3 linked regions of the Drosophila melanogaster genome follow. The protein of the gene in region 1 interacts with the protein of each later gene in a pairwise test. Each region holds a gene or a part of one and is shown on either strand. Other genes may lie near its edges.

What was found. Proteins that work in one complex are often made in the same cells at the same time.
Region 2: the proteins of CG17193 (region 1) and CG13795 interact in a two-hybrid assay, tested with the Drosophila melanogaster proteins (one large-scale study listed by BioGRID).
Region 3: the proteins of CG17193 (region 1) and Tsp39D interact in a two-hybrid assay, tested with the Drosophila melanogaster proteins (one large-scale study listed by BioGRID).

The regions. Positions count from the first base shown.
Region 1 is NT_033777.3:20,052,255-20,058,416, forward strand, and holds the start of CG17193 (uncharacterized protein), read right to left. Parts: upstream 3,844-6,162; 5' UTR 3,474-3,843; intron 1,837-3,473; exon of another isoform or gene 1,817-1,836; intron 1-1,816. Other genes in the region: CG4390 (uncharacterized protein), read right to left, coding at 4,257-5,120; mdlc (midlife crisis), read left to right, coding at 5,600-5,705, 5,764-6,162.
Region 2 is NT_033779.5:7,721,981-7,728,746, reverse strand, and holds CG13795 (uncharacterized protein), read left to right. Parts: upstream 1-2,448; 5' UTR 2,449-2,651; coding exon 2,652-2,814; intron 2,815-3,080; coding exon 3,081-3,212; intron 3,213-3,273; coding exon 3,274-3,437; intron 3,438-3,497; coding exon 3,498-3,586; intron 3,587-3,702; coding exon 3,703-4,172; intron 4,173-4,229; coding exon 4,230-4,378; intron 4,379-4,445; coding exon 4,446-4,574; intron 4,575-4,643; coding exon 4,644-4,850; intron 4,851-4,909; coding exon 4,910-5,191; 3' UTR 5,192-5,702; downstream 5,703-6,766. Other genes in the region: CG13796 (uncharacterized protein), read left to right, coding at 1-240, 305-462, 523-651, 712-918, 990-1,250; CG13794 (uncharacterized protein), read left to right, coding at 6,102-6,264, 6,467-6,598, 6,654-6,766.
Region 3 is NT_033779.5:21,342,109-21,348,170, forward strand, and holds the start of Tsp39D (tetraspanin 39D), read left to right. Parts: upstream 1-2,498; 5' UTR 2,499-2,628; intron 2,629-6,062.

The sequences.
Region 1 (6,162 bases):
CAGCGCATAAGAAATAATAGGAGTACGAATGGCGTCGCGGGGTGTGGAGTGTGGCAGTGGGAAATGGGTTTCGGGAGAACGGAGATGGGAACTCGGAGGCTGTCAGGAGTGATGGCTTCCATGTCGGGTCCCAATAGGTTCCGCTTCTGGGCTCTGACCCGCTGTAAAGCCAAATGATGACCGAAAATAGCACTAAAATTGTCGCCTCTGTTTCTCCGCATTCATTCAGGTTTGTCTGTCTATGTGTATGTACGTGTGTGAGTGAGTGTCCTTGCTGGTGTATCTGTGTTGCTTTATGGTGGCGTTGCGTGTGTATGGTGACGGTTTTCGATGCTTTGGCTGAGTGTGTGTGCGTGGAGTACGCCACATCCAGTTTACTGGGCATGGCGTGTGCGCACGAGTGCCATTGTCTAAATTATTTGGATGGCGTACGCTTCCGTTGAATTTGCGTGCCCAGCACCGCAGTCCCTACGACCATGGAGCCTACTTCTCACCCAGCTCTTCGCCGAGAGTCCTCTGATGCCTTCTGATGGGCCACTCGGCGTCCCAAAAACAATACATCAATTTGCTCGTATGCACGTGGCCCGGGCGTTTGTCATCGCAAGTGATTCCTCATGATTGGCCTAATTGTCAGTCGGGTCAGAGATACCCACACCCACGTCTTGTTTCAATGGAAAACCGATTCGATCTCTCCATTTTCTTTTATCACATGAAGAACTGCATACACATTTGCGCAAAGTGTGTGGGTTCTGGGATAGACTTTTAAAAGTCATTGTTGCCTTGACATTTAAAAGGATATACAAAAATTAAGAAATGAAATTGTTTATTTCTTGTGGATAAATACGATTTTATGGTGTGAATTATTAGTAAGAGCAACTTAAACGAAATTACAATTTTAAAGAGCTATCTAAAGTGTATATAAGATCTTAAAACTGTAATATTTTGGATGATAAAATCTAAATGAAATGCTTAAAACTTGTTCATTACGATCTCATAAATTTGTGTAAACTCATATGTGGAAAACAATGTAAACATTATAAATATATTCATATTTGTTTTAAAATCTAATCGGCTTACGAGTATTAGAGTGTGACAGTAACATTTGACGCACAGCAAGCATGGGAATTTAATAATATGTGTCAACACTGCGTATGCGTGATAAACGTTCGAATAAGGTCCACACTAGAACGCACGTGCTATGTGAGTGGTTTCCCAGGTTCAATATGTACATAAAGTTAATTGATGTGCTAATGGATGCTTTATTTTAGAACGACTCTTATTTATATTGTGCCGATGCCATTTAATTGGGAAAAGGCTACAAATACATACTTTCGGTATACTCTTTATACGAAGTACATATGTTCGCTAAGATATTGAATATATTTTTTTGTATATAATCAGCAAATTTACTTCAATTTAATCGATACCTAATGCAAATATATCTTGTTCACCAAACGACCAACTTTGACAAATAAGCGGATATTTTTCCTCAAATAGATTCTTCCGAACTTACGTATTCGCAAACGAATGACAAGTTTCTTCCTCTCGCTTTTCTTATATTGACTTTTATTGATTTTACGTTCGGTTTATTGGAATTTTCTCTTTTAAGGTCTTGCCAAACAAATCTGTTTTCCCCTTGAACTGCTCAGGTAAACACTTGTATTTGCCCACCTCAGTACACAATATTTCGATCCTCCGGGGATTTGGTGCGGTGGTCGAAGTGGCTTACCAGTAATTAGGCCGGGGAAAACTTCTCGACCAAGATGTTTAATAACTGTACACGTGTGGGGCAACAAATTTAAGCCCAAAAACTTACCAGCTTCATGTGTATTGCATCACCTTTTCCAATTGCAAGGGATTCAAGGGAAATCGACGCTTTTACTGTCTTAGCGCGCTTTTCTTGCGTCTTTTCCTTGAATAATGGAAAAATAAAAAGTGAGCCGAGTGCCTCAAGCATCAGTAAGCACTATAAAAATGGAAATATTGCATTTTATATGGCGGTCCGCTTTGAATGAGCGTAAACGATTCTTACACAAGATTTTAGTACGACGCGTTTAATAGTTAAATGCTGTTTAATGGTAGCACGATACCGAACTTTTCAGAAGTTGATATTTAAACGGGCGTAAGAAATCTAAATTTTTTTTGCCAGCAAACGAGGTGGCTTTATTACCGCTTCTTACTTAAATAACGTAAATTAATATCCGGCGAAAAAAATTAATCCACTCGTAATAAACTGAAAAATGAGAAGAGGAGAATGGCAATAAAAAATAAAAGTAATTTTGGCAGTACAAATTGAACATTCTACGCTGGTCGCGTAAATAATTTTCACGTGTGCATTGAATTTTGTTGGTTTCTATTTCGTTTTTTTGTCCAAATTTCAATTAAGAAGCGTGTCAAATATGTGTTGAATAATAATTTAAAAATTATGTTTATAAGTAATCAATACGTTCAGCGAAATATTTGTCATAATGTAAAGCAATTTGGTCAGCTAGGTAATAAACTGTACTGAGGTTATACTTTACTAGTCATATAAAATTTGAAATATCGTTCTTGAATGCTAATTTCGAATTGGGCTTGTGCGAATTATGATGATTTATCTTAATAAAGAATATTTTAAATTTGCCTTGGGTAGACTGTTATTTCATTTTATGACACATTCAAGCTATATGAAAATGTGATATCTTAAGCCTTTGGCCATGTTTCTTAGCCTAAGAATATTTTAACAAAAAACAAGATTTTCTTTGCTTGAACAATTTAACGTTTCTCAAACGAACATAAAGTGGAAAATTCGTTGTAATCTCTTTCTTGACAGCCAAGGAACAGAAAGGAACGTTTTCGTAGCTGCCAAAAGCATTTTGCAACCTCTTTTGAAAGATCAAGTTCATGGCTTTTTGCCTTTGAGTCCCACCAATCCCATCCGCCAAAGAAGTGTTCGAAATTTAAATGAAGCTCTGGTAATGAGAAACCAAGACTGTTTTTCTTTAAGCTTAATTCTAGCCCAAAAGTACGATTGCCCCAAAAGTAATAATGGAAAATTTATAATGAGTGAAATAACAATTCTAAGTCTAAGAAGAGCCCAAAGCAGTTCTGCAAAGTCCCTTTGATAATAAAACCATAAAATTCAATAGCCAAATCATAATATGCAAATGATGGCCAGTGAAAAAAACAAGGCTTAAATACTTTAAATAAGTTTGAAGCCCAGCACCCGTGGCAGAATCGACAAACTTGATGGATGGCGAAGGGATACGGAGCGTGAACTTGACTCTGAACTGTGAAAAATGGAGTGCTGATGGAAGTGTAAAAATGCCAGCATGCAGTAAAACGTCGGCCATAAAACATGTCGTACAGTTGCACATAAAAATTGGGGAAGGTGCTACCAATACCACACCTGACTAGCTGACTCGCTGACAGAATGTCAAGATCTGAGCTCGGTTTGAAATTGATTTACATGGGCCATATGGCTAAGGGCTTACCATGGGGCTTTGTTGTGTGCCAACTGCCATTAAATGGCTAATTAAGATTTCAGTCCGCTGGCAGTCGTCCAGCAGCTGGCCGCAAATCTCACGCCTTTTCAAATCCCTTTTTTTGGTACCCGATTTTCCGACCCGTTGGTATATAAAACACAAAAGCGCGCGAAGTTACACAAACAAAGGGGGGTCCAAAAAACAGGACTATCTCGCGCACACACGCAGTCACGCAAATACAGAGCTGGCGACTCCGATTGGTCCTAGTAAATATGGCGCCAAACGAGTCGAGAATGTCGCCTTTTGGTACCTCCGTTCGGTTCGGTTCCCTCTGTCACTAGCACATCTATTCCATCAGACGGCGTTTTTTCTACTGATGAATGAATCGTACGCAGGATGCCAGGATGCGGAAAGTTTCCAGCATGCCGTGGACCAACAACCGGAAAGCTTTTACTACGTTGCGAGCTTTTACCCTTACCACAAGTCCGGGAAAAAGTCCTTAGGAATTCGACGAATGCTGAATACCCATTACTTAAGTTTTTGTTTGTGAAAGGAAATTGCTGAACTTAAAACCGAAATAACAAAGTACACGCCATTTGTGTATAATCTTCTGTACATTGGCACCTAGAATGAATAAAAATATTTGTTTTTCAAAGTCCAAGTTCAAAGTTTAAAGTCAAGAATGTAAGAATACATTTTAGAAGCTCAGTCGAAATTGGTTTATTTACTGCCAAATTTACGTTGAATTATGGTTTCGGTGGAAACCAACGATTATGTACAAGCGGAATATCATCAAGCGGAAGCTGTGAGCAGGGCGGCATGGTAGGCGATGTGTTCGGCGACGAACGTGGCGATGTAGAAGTAGCTGTGATCGTATCCCTCGCGCTGCTTGAAGATGGTCTGGATGTGATCATTGCCATCTGCGGCAGCCAGCAGGTTCTCCGGCAGCAGCTGCTTGCCGGCCAGGAAGTTGTCTGCTGCACCTTGGTCGATGAAGAGCTCCTGCGGAGTGCTCTCGTACTGCGACACCAGATGCGTGGCATCCCACAGGGCCCAGTCATCCGGATTGGAGCCCAGATAGCCGGCAAAGGCCTTCTTGCCCCACGGGCACTCGGTGGGATTGGCAATCGGCGCAAAAGCGGACACCGACTGGTACAGCCCGGGATTCTTAAGCGCGCAGATCAGGGCTCCGTGGCCGCCCATACTGTGGCCGAATATACCGCGTTTACCGGGAACCACGGGCAGATTGGCATTGACCACATCCACCAGCTCCTGGGTCACATAGCTGTACATCTTGTAGTGCTTCGACCACGGCTCCTCCTTTGCATCCACATAGAATCCAGCCCCGCTTCCAAAGTCGTATGCATCATCTTGGCCGGCAATTTCCACGCCCCTGGGCGAAGTGTCCGGATTGACGACGATCAGGTTGTGGCGGGCGGCGTGCTGCTGGAATCCGCTCTTCTGGATGAAGTTCTCATGCGTGCAGGTCAGTCCGCTGAGGAAGAACAGCACCGGACACGGTTTACCCTCCAAAGCGGCCGGCGGCAGGAAGACGCCAAAGGTCATGTCGCACTTCAAGGTGTCCGAGCGATGGCGATACACGCGTTGCTCGCCCTCGAAGCACTTATTTGCGGACAGCTGTTCGAGCGTCATGTTCTGGGGGTGAAACGGAGTAAATAATTTGTAAGCTAAAACTGAAATCCATTAATTTTTAAAAACGCACTTGTTTTTTGACGATCTAAAAATAACAAGCGATAAGAAAACAGTGTGACCGCGTGTAGAGCGCCAAAAGTGGGAAGCTTTCAGAACATCTTGGTATCGATGATTAAAAGGGTAGATCCCATAGGAGTTAATATTTTCTAGAATTCTTTAAATTAATATAAATCTATTAATTATTACATATTGATGATGTATTAAATATGTAAAAATTGCAATTATTACAAACGAATATATTCCTCATAAGTAAACATTGAATTTTAATGTGCCCGTTTCATACAAAAATACTAACTCCATAACGATTGTTACGCAAGTACCATCACTAGCCGGGAAGAAGAAGCGCCAGTTGGCGAAATTGCTATTGTTAATTGTTGTTAACGTGAATTACTAGATAAGTACATAAATTTAAAAGCCGGAGAATGTCGGAAGAAGCGGCTAGCACCTCGTCCTTTGGCTTCAAGAAGCGGAACCTCAAGAAGGGAGCTGGAATTCGTCGCAAAAAGGAAACCAGCAGTGATGAATCTGGTAGGAACTTAATTTTACCGCCAACAAAGTAAATGGGCAAATATTATTGATATTCCAGCAAAAAGCAGCGATGAAGAGACCAAAGGCAAAGCCAGTGCTCTGGTGCGAGCCGAGAACCGCCGAAAGCGCACGAATCCCAACTTCCAGAGCACCAAGACAATGAGCAAAGCAAAGAGACAGGCGGGAGGAGTTGGTGATGATGGCTCATCCTCAGCCTCCGACGATGATAAACTGGGCATTGCGTACAAATCCAAACGCGAGGCGCTGCCCAGTGGACCCCAAGATCAGGGAGCTACATCGATTAACGAAATGGACACAGAATTGGATCGCGATGCGCAGGCAATTCATGCGCGAGCTCTGAAAATCAACGAAGAGCTGGAGGGCAAGGCGGACGATAAGATCTATCGCGGAATTAACAACTATGCGCAGTACTACAAGAAGCAGGATACAGCGGCAG
Region 2 (6,766 bases), on another chromosome or scaffold:
TGCATTATTATTGGATGCCCCAGTTGGATAGCTTTGACAGCATTTTGGCAACGGCTCGCACGGCCCTCCTGATGGCCGGCGGAGCCTTGGGGCCCGGTTGGGGCAGTATCATAACCTTGTCTAGCTACAACAACTTTCGCAGAGATGCCGAAAGACTGAGTATCTGGGTGTGCCTTACTCATATTACCATTGGGTTAATGGGACTGCTCTGCTGCAATGTGGCCCACGATCACTTTGAGGGTAGGGCCTCTTGAATTTTGTTTTTGAAAACAATTCCAATTTTTAAATTGCTATATTCAAACAGATCACGTTGGTATGATGCCATTACATGTGGATGAGAAGCATCATATGCAGTTTCTGTATCTCTGCTTCTCATACTTGTTTGGACGTTTTACGACGACTCCAAATCTCTGGGCATTTCTGTTCTTTGGCATGATATTTTTATCAGAACTATGTGCCTTGGTAAGTTTACATATGCACCCATTTAAGAATTTTTATCTAATTTAATTGTATCTTTCAAAGATCATTCAAATGATGTCCGTTATTACTGCCTTGTTCGATGAGTTCGAGACATTGCGTTCAAGAAGAATTCTGGTAATTTCATCGCTAGTCTTCTGCCTCACAGCTTCCTCTGTATATTTTTGTACTCAGGTGAGTTTAAATTCTTTTCATTTCTGAGAGCATACTGTAATACATAATTATCCATTTCAGTTGGGCTTTAGTCAGCTGACTCAGCTGCCAAATTTGGCAGTGTTTACACACTTGCTTATTTCGGGAATCCTTGTGCTGATGACCACTTGGGTTTATGGACGCGTTCGTTTCCAGTGCGACTTGCAGTTTATGTTAGGCAAAACGATCTCAAGTTTCAAAATTTTCTTTATACGCTTTGCCACGCCCATTTTTCTGGGACTGTGTCTGGTGAGTAGTGGTTATTATTATAAAATTATTTGTATATAGTTAATGACTGATATTATTGGAATTTCTTGCAGTTTCAACTAACCTATTTATTTACGCGTGATCGCATACACGATGTCCTGATTTATGTGAGTCAGGGCTTGATTCTCCTAACGGCCATATCTTATATGGTTTACAAGGTATGTCGGACGAATGGCGATTGGCGCCAGCGATTGCAACAGTGCCTCGCACCACATGACTGGCATCCGGTGGATGCGGACAACCGGCGATTCTACGAGGAAATCATGGGCATCTCGGAGATGCTGGTTATAGATGCCAATGCCAACACCACATAGTGCCTAAATATCGAATACTCCCTAGATCAAAACTCAATACTTACAGCGTCGTCACTTGACAAATGAACTGAACTGAACTCACTTTTATTATACACCCATATGCGGTCACATTCACACATGCAAAAAATACAATAACAAACACGCACACTAGTATATAAATAAGCGGATCCATTGGCAATGGCGATTGTTAGTTGTTGTAATGAAGTTGTACTGATATTTTCCAAAAGCTAGCTATAGTGAACAATATACTGGTGATATTTAGTAGTTTCCTACTAAAATGTTCAACAAGCTTCGGCCAAAAATATTGTTATGAACTAATAAAATTTTACCTTTTAGGCATTGAAAATGTTGAAGTCTTTTTTTGAAGTTGGTAAACGTATAAGGAAAAGAGTTAAATTTATGATATACGGCTGTCAGCACTTTAAACTATTTAATGTCGCACTAATAATAATAATAATTTTGGAATTTTAGTTATAGAATATATGACGTTTAGAGTAGATTGTTAGAAGCATGTTTTTAAATGCATGCAAAATAATAATAGTTTGAAAAATATATGAGGTAATTGTATATTATTACCTAAAACTAATCGCTAATAACAAACAAACATAAGAAAAAACAAATATTAAGACATTATCAATGCGTTATTGAAATCAACAGCCAGGGCGTTATGGGGTTTACTTGCTTTTGCATTGCTGTCTGAGTTTTCCCCCAGATTTGATAACTTTGCGGCTGTCTTGTTTGTCATCCCATTTCCCGAGCACGACCATATCAGTTTCCAGTTCCAAAATCGAAATGAACTTGGCAATGCACGACGATAGGCGCACATAAGAGAGACAGGCACAGATATAAGAGCTCTAATAATCTGAATTTAAAGCAAAATAACAATAAATGCAAATTTATGGTCGAGATCGGAAATACACTTACAAAACGTGTAATAACAAATTTACAATTATTTTGATAACCGAAAGCTTGAAACTATAGATAACTCGCTTAGATATATATTTTCCTAGCATATCTTTATTTTGACAACAGATCTGTTTGAAATTAGAGGGAGGTTTCAAATGAATCTCGGTATAAAGATACCCCACTTCCATAGTAATAACTGTGTGATTAAAGACCAAGTGTGCATCGCCTAAGTTGGGGTATCTCATTCAAGAGGGATGAGCTAAACAGAGGCCTGCTGTCGGAATCGGATTCAGTTTGCCGGCATCGGTTCTACTAATTAGTCCGTCAATTTAGAGTAAAACGCTCGCGGATCGGTTGCAGAAAAAAAATATATATATACTAATATTACCTCTGCGGGAGTGTAAAATTAGATCGTAGTTATATATACTTATTTACAAAATTTGCTTAAATCCATTCTCGCCCACATTTTGGCGGTAATATTGTGGGTAGTTCAACATGGTATATGAAACATCGTATGATACCGGGCATAAACCCTTTTCCCCCGATCTGAATCGAGGAAAATGGGATAAGCCAACGGACTTTATGTTCGCCTGCTTTGGATTAGCCTTGAAGTTGGATGTCTTTGTGGCATCGTTTTGGATGTTCTTCGACATGGGCAGTAAGTAACGCAAGGGCGACTACGTATATTATATTGCTGATAAGGTTCGGATTTAGACTAATCTGTGGAGGGGCGGTGCTCTGCTAATGTTCTCTTACCTTCTCATCTGACATACATACAAAACAATGCCTAATTCTGTCGATATTTATGTATTTAATGTAATAATTGTGTCTCTTTATACAGCACAAGAGATAACAGTTTATACATCAGAATTTAATCTTTATCTTTGAATGCATTTATTTAAATACACTATTTGCTTGGACCAGTTCTTGGAATACTGCCGTACTTTGTATATATGTCCATTTACTTGGTTCCCATCATGGTCATTCACTCCTTCATGGGTCAGTTCTCCAGCAGTGGATTCATCTCCGCCTTTCGCCTGTCGCCTTTCTTTAAAGGTACGTACGTAACCGAGAAGTTTAAACAGATATTAAATATTGATCGAAATATCAATTTCAGGCATGGGATATGTGAGTGGATTTTTAACTATCTCCATGCTAATTTACTATAGCATTTTTGCTGCGGTTCCACTTCTGTTCATAATAAACTCATTTCGACCCACTTTACCTTGGAGCTGTGAGGGCTTGAGTTCTTGGCACAATGGAAGTGCAACGCTATCTAGTGTATGAAATTTGTGTATGACTAAATTGAATTGAAGACTAAGTACATTTTTTATATTTAAGTCTTGTAATAAGACACTGATCTTGGAGGACTTTTCGGAATACAACAGATCTCACCAGCTGCTCCATGTACCATCCGTGCTCTATTTTCAGTAAGTGCTCCTATTTATATAGCAATAAAACATTACCTAATTAATCCAATGCAAATATTTTAATATTATTTTAAGAATTGTTTAAAAATAATTTCTTTTTAACTCTATGTTTACAGAAATCACTATGATAGCATGCAACAGGATGCGGTTCCGGATTGGTATAAGGATTACGAGTTGTCTTGGCATTTTGTTGGCCTATTCGCAATCATTTGGGTTGTGATTGCATTTATTTTTTATAAATTCTCAGAGACGGCCAAGTTTGGAAAACTTATACGCTACATGGTGATTGTTACCCTGGTTCTTCTTTTAGTGTGCTTTGTGCGATTCCTGTTCCTTCCGGGAGCTCTTAACGGGCTCCACAGATATGTGACTCCAAAGGCAAGTGACATGGCCATGGGAGTAGTGTCCACATTCATCATGGTTCTTCATGCATTCGGAGCTGGTTGGGGCAGTGTAATAACTCTGTCCAGTTTCAACGGTTTCAAGACTGACATCATGTCGTATAGTTGGATTATTTCCTTTGGACAGATCTTCATTTATATCATGTTTGGCATGGTTTCCTTTATGCTGGAACACTACTTTAATGGTAATAGCACTTTATAGATTTGCAATATCTTTACTGTATTGAAGTTATCCCTTTCAGAACTATCCGATGTTGATGATAACGGACATGTTTTGAGCCATTGGCTGCTATATTTGTCAAGTGCTTCTGCCTTGTCCACAATGGCTTGGCCAAACCTATGGACTTTTATATACTATTCTATGCTTTTAATTGCTGCTCTAATTGTGATGGTGATGATAATCTACACAATTAATTTTTATTTTTCACGCTACTAAACTTAAATAATTTTATTTTCAGACGACGCAAATCTTCACGGTTTTGCAAAGTTTGTTTGATGAGTTCGAAGTACTTAGAGTGAGAAAACAAGAGGTGACCTTTGGGCTAATTGGAGGTATTGCACTCTGCTCCTTTTACTTTTGCACCAATGTAAGTACTTAAGTTTACACAAAAAAGATATATTATTAAGAAATATTTTAAACAATTTTCCGTTTCTAGCATGGCATTATTTTCTTTTCGGCCTTGGGTCTTGATGCCATTTTCTCACATAGTTTGCTGCACTTACTGCTCCTTTTGGTGGTTTTGTGGATCTATGGTCGCGAACGATTCCAGCGAGATATTGAGTTCATGTTGGGCCAGCCCTTTGCCTCCTGGAAGGTTTTCATACTCCGCTTTATAGCTCCAATAATTTTAGTCATTTGTCTGGTTAGTTAGTTAGTTAGTTGCTTGTTGCTTTGAATAATCATATTCTTTTAACTAACTAGCTCGCGGGAATTGCTCTGTCCATATCGGAGCACTCTTATTCCACAACAGTGGTCTTCGTGATGTCAATTGTCCTCGTGGTTTTGCCCATTCTGGCCATTCCTGGATATGGATTTTACTACCTCTACCAGAGCACGGGCACCTTTTGCGAACGCTTTAAACGCACCTGCCGACCCACCGATTGGTATCCGGTTGAGATGGAGCACCGCCAGCAGTACGAGGAAGCTGTGGACAACACGGAGATGACCCACCAACTCTTCGAGGTTACTGAGGAGGTCAACTAGTTACTGATGCACTTAGAAATGTACTAAATATAAATATATGAGTAATTTTAATGCGTATTTAAAAAAAGGTATGCATATATATACAATCATATTGTGAAAGGTGGAAATGCTACACTTATTGCACTATGCTTACAGCAATGGGTTTTACAGCGTTTATCTCACCTGAATCGATCAGGTTCACACGTGTGACTGTCCAGAGAAACGTAGATATCTCGGAAAAGTTAATAAAGTTGAGCTTAAAAAATCTGTGACGTCCACAATTATAATGCTTACATAGTTTGTCTATCGAGAGAGAGAGAGAGCTTTTAAAAACGTGTAATTATTAATGTAGTTATTGATTAATTATGGTTATAAGCAAAGTACTCTTATTGACGTCATGTTAGTGTATAGAAATGCCTTTTAATTTCAGAATGCCACTTCGGTGACTCACTACTTTTAGGAACGGTATTAGTTTCATTGAGATGTTTGTTTTAACATATCCAAATTAATATACATCATATTACATTAAATTATTAGGGATCTTCTTACTGTCTGTTTGAACTTGTTCACATTACATAGTATTACAAAGTAATACCGACTATTTATTCAAAAAATTATGCTTAACATTATTTCTTAAAAGTGTATTTGATGGCCGATCTAGTGTGAATGGTCCGGGATAGGCTATGAGCATCTCAGTCCAGTGGAATCAGCTACACTGCGGTTTATCAGCGGAATCGGATTTAGTTCGTCCGCATCGCTGCTACTAATTAGTTCGTCAATTTAAAACGCTCGCGAAATGTTTGTTGTTTGCCAAAGCTTTTAATAATAAGTACCTCCATCGGCGTGTGAAATTGGATATATTTCTTTTTATACAAAAGTTTTTCAAATTCCTTTGCTCACACAATTTACCGGGCTATACTAACGTCACAAAATGATATATGAAACATCGTATGATAGTGGGCACAAACCCTTTTCCCCCGACTTGAAGAGAGGAAAGTGGGATAAGCCCACCGACTATATATTTGCCTGCTTTGGATTAGCCCTTAAACTGGATATATTTGTGGCCTCGTATTGGTTCTTCTTTGATATGGGCAGTAAGTATTAAAAACAGAGGTATCTATAGGTATAGGGCATATATGCTCCAAGGTTAGACTATTCATTTTAGGGGCGTTGATTGTAAAATGTAAATTTCCTACGCTCTGATCAGATAAGAGTAATAAATATAATTTAATTAATGTAAATGCCTGTTAAAAATAGTAGCAACACTGAAATTTTCTGGATTCTTGCCTTCCTAAGTTTTTGGGATGCTGCCGTACCTAGTTTACATGGTGATATATTTGGTTCCAATCATGGTCATTCATTCCTTCATGGGCCAGTTCTCAAGCAGTGGGTTCATCTCCGCCTTCCGGCTGTCACCGTTTTTTAAAGGTATGTTAAAAGGAAAAAACTAAATAATTGGCTTAAAGTTTATTTTGTATTGTAGGAATGGGATATGTTAGCGTTTTCCTGACCATCAGCATGTTGATTTACTACAGCATCTTTGCTGCAGTTCCTCTGCTCTTCATGATCAACTCCTTCCGACCTACCTTGCCATGG
Region 3 (6,062 bases), on another chromosome or scaffold:
GATTTGTTCGAAGCAGTGCAAGATTCTGAACTGAGTTTCAAAACCTTCTCTGTCAATCAAGCCCGCGTGTCAGTGTGTTTGTTTAAACACAACATTTCGGAAAAAGTTCTAATGCAAGTTCTAATAAAACTTTTCACTTCCTCGGGAATCCTTTCTATTGTACAATTATTCTTTTTTATTTTTTATTCAATTTGCAATCGATGTACCTGTGTTTAACTGAAGTGGTTAAATGTTACCGGTAGATAATTGAGACAGTAGAGTACTGTTACCAAGAAAAAACAAGTTTATTTTTGGTGAATTTCGCATATAAATACATTTATGTATATACATACAGATATGTTTTATACTTAAGTGAAAAGCCTAGAAGGAATAGCTGAAAATCTGCAATTAAGCGAAGATATCGAAATTAATTCTGAGCGGGGTCTATATAGCAATATTCTTAAGCGAAGTGCTTTTTAATCGTACAGATTGGAGAACATTAAAAATTCTGTTACGATTGTGCTAAATATACGCAAAGTAGGACGAAATATATTCGTAAATAAAACTCGCAATATAGATGTGTAGCTCCATAGGTGTGCAATGTAAATGAACAGGAAGAGACTCATATAATATATTTAATGTTATATAGAAATACCCCAAAGGATCAAATATTAATTCAAAAATTAGAAACGTTTTCCCAGTGCTGTAAATTATATGAGAAGCCTATTTTGAAGAGCATTTGCTTAGTACAAGTGAAGAAAAGTATATGAATATTTAAATAAGTAATGATAAAAATAACAAATTCATAATTATATGGAATCTGTAATATGTATACATAATATAATAATATAATATGTATACATTCTCACGTTTAAAGCAAAGATTATTTAATAAAGTAAAGAATAAACCGGAACTCCAACACTTTTGAAAAATTCTGTGATAATTCTTCATATTTTTATTAGTCTTGTAAATTACTATGGATTTGCCAAAAAACTTTTTGCCTCGCCTACTTCAACGTCCAAAGACCGCCCAAAACTGCCACACCTACACTTTTAAAATATTTTTAGAATTTTCCGTTTTATTATTTGTCTTGCCAAGTTTTATCGGTATACAAAACAATGTGGCCACGACCCTTCTTTCACCTACAAAACGAACAAAACTGTCACGCCAATAATTTTTAAATTTTTTCTCATTTTATTCACCAAAATCAATCGATATCCTGGAAAAATTATAAAATTTGGCGATCGAATTTCCACTAGCCGAGTAAAGGGTATCTGATGAGCGGGAAATCGAGTATAACATTTTCTCTTGTTTACATATATCCTTTTACACTTTTACCACTTTTCATCCCCAAGCATCAAATTTTTCAAAGTCCTGGTATGAATACAGAAAAAATCCTATGATATACTCTTTTAATGGGCAAAATGTATTTATAATATCATTAGGTTTTTAATTTAAAACCATTCAACAATGGTTCACTTCTATTTTACCCATTACTCGTAGAGTAAATGGGTATACAATATTGGTTGAAAAGTATGTAACAGGCAGAAGGAAGCGTTTCCGACTATATAATTTATATATATTCTTGATCAAGATCAAAAGCCGAGTTGATCTAGCCATGTCCGTGTTGCCACGCCCACAAGAATCACAAAATTTCCAAGCCCACGTGTAACGTGTAACGTGTAATATAACATAAACCGATTCCACCTTATTCTTGCCAAGAAGGTTGGTTTAAGGGCTAAATCAAAAGCAAAAGGAGAGCTAAAACACGGTGGAAATTTTTTAAAGCGTTGTTGAGTAGAGAACGTGCTAAGTTATATATATTTCATAAACCACCGCGAAAGCGAAGAGGATTTATCTAATGGGAGGAAGGTATATATATCATGTAAATGTTCCTGATTCTCTTTTCTTGATCGGAATCTCCAGACGACTCTATATGCCTATGTCCGACTGCATTCGTTTTCTTGGCATTTCATTTGATGTCATCAGGGACTTATGTATATGCAAAAATTGAATACAATCCTGTTTTAATTTTCACTACAAACATAGTTTTATGACAGTAATCGAATCTCCTTTTAGCTAAACTTAACATTGCTTCTTTTATAATCAATCTGGGTTATACAATTTTTATCTACGATTCGAATCCAGTCTACTTTAGTAAAAAATTATGGCAACTCCCGACTTCTGTATACTGCAGTATGGCAGCTCCCGAACTGTGTAGATGTTGGTATGGCAACTCAAAATCACCTGCAATTGCTACTGAACATTCATATTAAACATAATTACGAAAAGACCAACATTAAAATAGCGTTTGTATTCGGCAATACAAGATTTATTGCTGAGAGGGGAAAAAGCGGTTCTAGCATCAACACGTAATAAAAAGAAAATTAACCAAAATTGATTTTCTTGAAATAATGTTTCCAGCACCGGGATAAGATAACAAATAGTGGAGTCATTCAGCAATCGTTGATTGGCGTGAGGTATCGATGACCATGCGCTATCGATACCTCCGTTGGAATTATCACATCGTAGCTCTACTGTTTGTCAAGTCTCACTTGAAAACATCCATCGAAAGTGCTGTTGTTCTGATTAGAGCGCGGGTGCGAGTTAATCAAGCGAACCGTTGCGTCCTGGTCCTAAATTTGAAAGGTATAAATATTTGGGTGAAACCAATCAGCTGCAATAGATGATGCGGTCCCTTGCGCCATACAAATTGGTATTAGTATTGCCCTAGAGGAGTAATTGTGTGTATGTATGTTGGTGGGAGAGTGGAAAGTGGTTTAAGTGAGGGATGCGACCGAACAATATGCACTTCTCCCTGTGCTACCTGAGATCTAGAGTGTGGAGAGTGATTCTGTTGACTAGTTTGCGTGCTTGCGGCAAGCAGGAGCTGCGGTCCGGTGTGATACATGCCTCGCGAAGTTGCTCCAAGTCGTAGTGGATGGTGCTCCAGGTGCTGGGATGCGCCTAATTGGAGATACACAAACGGTCAGTCAAAAGCTCGTGAAGTGTGGGTAATGCCTATATATATCCGCCACCCGCCTACAAGCGGGTTCCGGAAGTAGGCGACGGCACGCAACCATCAACCAGAAGCATCATTATGCACACATGCAGCTGGACATGGGGAAATCCTCTCAATAAAGCCGCTAGGCGGACATTGATTCATATGTTAATACACGTGTATGAATATGACAATTGGTGAGAGCGGGAACCACCAGTTACGCACAGTGGCCAGATCGCACTAGCGCACTATTCGTCAAGGAGTCAGGATTTGGTTGTCGTCTCAAATAAATAGCTAACTTTGTTAGAGATAAATGGTTAGGTTTAATCAAACTAATCGTTTAATTTCAAGGTAACATAAACTCATATTTTGCTTAAACTAAAAACGGTTTAATATAAATAAGTCTGACAGGACCGTAAAACTGCTCTCCAAATTCGGTCGTCTGGTACCTGGGCGCAAATCAATTAAGGAACTATTAACTCAGCAATGGGAACACTACCAAACACTGTACAATGTAGTAGCAATATTAAATATAATAATATAATAATAAACATGGATGCTTGCTTCTGCAAGCTAAAGTATTTAAAAAGTATTAGAAATGGTCGGTAATCGTAGAGTAAGAATTCACTTAAAAGGATGTTACAGGTAGAAGAACGCTTTTTCCACCTTATAAAGTATTTCTGTATGTATTAACACTTAACACATACGTATATCCAAACTGGTTTATTACGCAGTACTAAGAAATATACGGCTGACGTGTGTATTTTACCCTACATTGTCATCCGTGTGGCAGGTGTAGCCACTTTTTACGCAGCTGACACTATTTCTAAGCTATCGATTTTGTCTTCTATTCCTTTCCCATTGCTTTGAATGCCGATACTTGGCCTATTGCTGGTGGTGGGGTGGCACTAATAATTTAAAAACCGACCTATTTCAGTGCAGAGTTCAAACTCATTCAAACTACACAACTATTACAGCAAGCGCAATATACATACATATGTATGTATGTACATATGTATTCCTGTCCTTCCTAGTTTTCGTTCTCCATGTCCGTCCGTATGAAGGTGGAGATCTGAGGAACTATAAAACCTACAATATTGAGATTAAGCATATAGATTTCAGAGGCATAGTTTGTTTACTCATGTTGCTACGCCCACAAACCCTGCCAAAGCTGCCACGCCCACACCATTGGAAAATGTGTTGATATTTATATATCCGTTACTCGTAGAGTCAAAGGTTATGATCAGGATCAATAGCCGAGTCTATATGTCCCTGTCTGTCTGCTCGAATGTCTATGCGTCCATATGAACGCCGAGATCTCAAAAACTATAAAAGCTAGAAGGTTGAGATTAAGCATAAAGATTCTAGAGACATAGGCGCAGTGCAAGTTTATTTCAAATCACCCAAAACCGGTACGCCCACTGTTTGTTTTGATATATTTTCCTATTTTTATACCCGTTACTCAGATTAAAAGGTGATACTAGATTCGTTGAAAAGTGTTTCCGACCAAATCAAGTATATATATCCTTGATCAGGATCCATAGCCGAGTCAATCTGGACATGAAAGTCGAGACCTCAGGAACTATAAAAGCTAAAAGGCATACAGATTCTAGAAACATAGACGGAGCGCAAGTTTGACCCATGTTGCCACACTCACTCTAACGCCACGCCTACACTTTTGAAAAATGTGTTGATATTTGTTCACATATGTATTAGTCTTGTAAATTTTATCGATTTTGCCAAAAACGTTTTTGCCACGCCCACTCAAACCGCACAACCGGTCACGCCCACACTTTTGAACAATTTTTAAATTTTTTTTCATTTTATTTCCCAATATCTCTTGATATCCCAAAATAAATGATACTTTCGCGTTCTCATTCACACTAGCTGAGTAACGGGTATCTGATAGTCGGGGAACTCGACTATTCTCGCATTCTCTCTTGTTAGTTTTGTAAATTTCTGTCGATTTGATAAAAAACTTTTTGCAATGCCCACTCTAACGCACAAAACCCGCCGAATCCTGTCGCGAACCCACTTTTGGAAAATATTTCGATCTTTTTTCATATTTTTAATAGTCTTTTCTTTCCAAATTCTATCGATATGCCAACAAGGATGTTAAATGCTTAAGCTGAGTAACGGGTATCTGATATTCGAGGAACTCGTTCATTCTTGCTTTTTAAATTCATTTAACAGTTTTTTAATGCAAAATTTGTTTAAATTAATGTATTTTGTATATACTCGTAATAGTTGACATTGTAAAGGTTCGGTAAAGTTGTACATTGAAATAACTCCGGAAAAAAGTTTTTAAAACTTCTTCAATACAGGAAATCCATATCGTTAGCCGGGAATAGCTTACACATACAGAATAACATACAGGAATAATGAAAAGACCGGTGTGTTTGAATCTTGTTCTATGATTATCACTTTAACAGAGTACGGATAAAAATGAATACTAAACGTATACGAGCTTAAATAGCGTTAGGCAGTTGGTTTATTTTTCTTCGCGTCTTATAGCATGTAGTATGTGCATATATCGAGGGTACACTGTACCTATAAGTACACAGCAACACTTAGTTGCATTGCATAAATAAATGTCTCAAGTGAGCGTGATATAAGATCACCCATTTATGCTTTAAGCTAAGTCAGCATCCCCACGCTGGCCGCTGGCCATATATGCGCATAAGCTCTCTCTCTCTCTCTCTTATACATATATATATACGCTGCTCTTCTGCCGCTGTCGACGGCGGCGCAGTCGCAGTATTTAGGTAAGATTAGACACTCTGTAGAGGTTAAGCGGGCAGAACCGTTTCTGCTACTCGAAGAGATAAGAAGAAATAAAAAGGTGGCCTGACGGCTGCACCCAACTGCAAGGAAAACACGTGTTCTCAATTGGTGGCATATATTGGTTTATTACATGGCGACCGTGAGGCAGGAGCCTGCGATCTGAGGACTACTGAGGAAATGCTGCTAATATTGCCGATTTGATTTGGGAATTCTAAACAGCGACAACAGGTGTGAGAGGCAGGCCGCCCCTTACACCAGTGCGGGAGACCTAGAGACGGGACACTGATGAAAAAAAAAA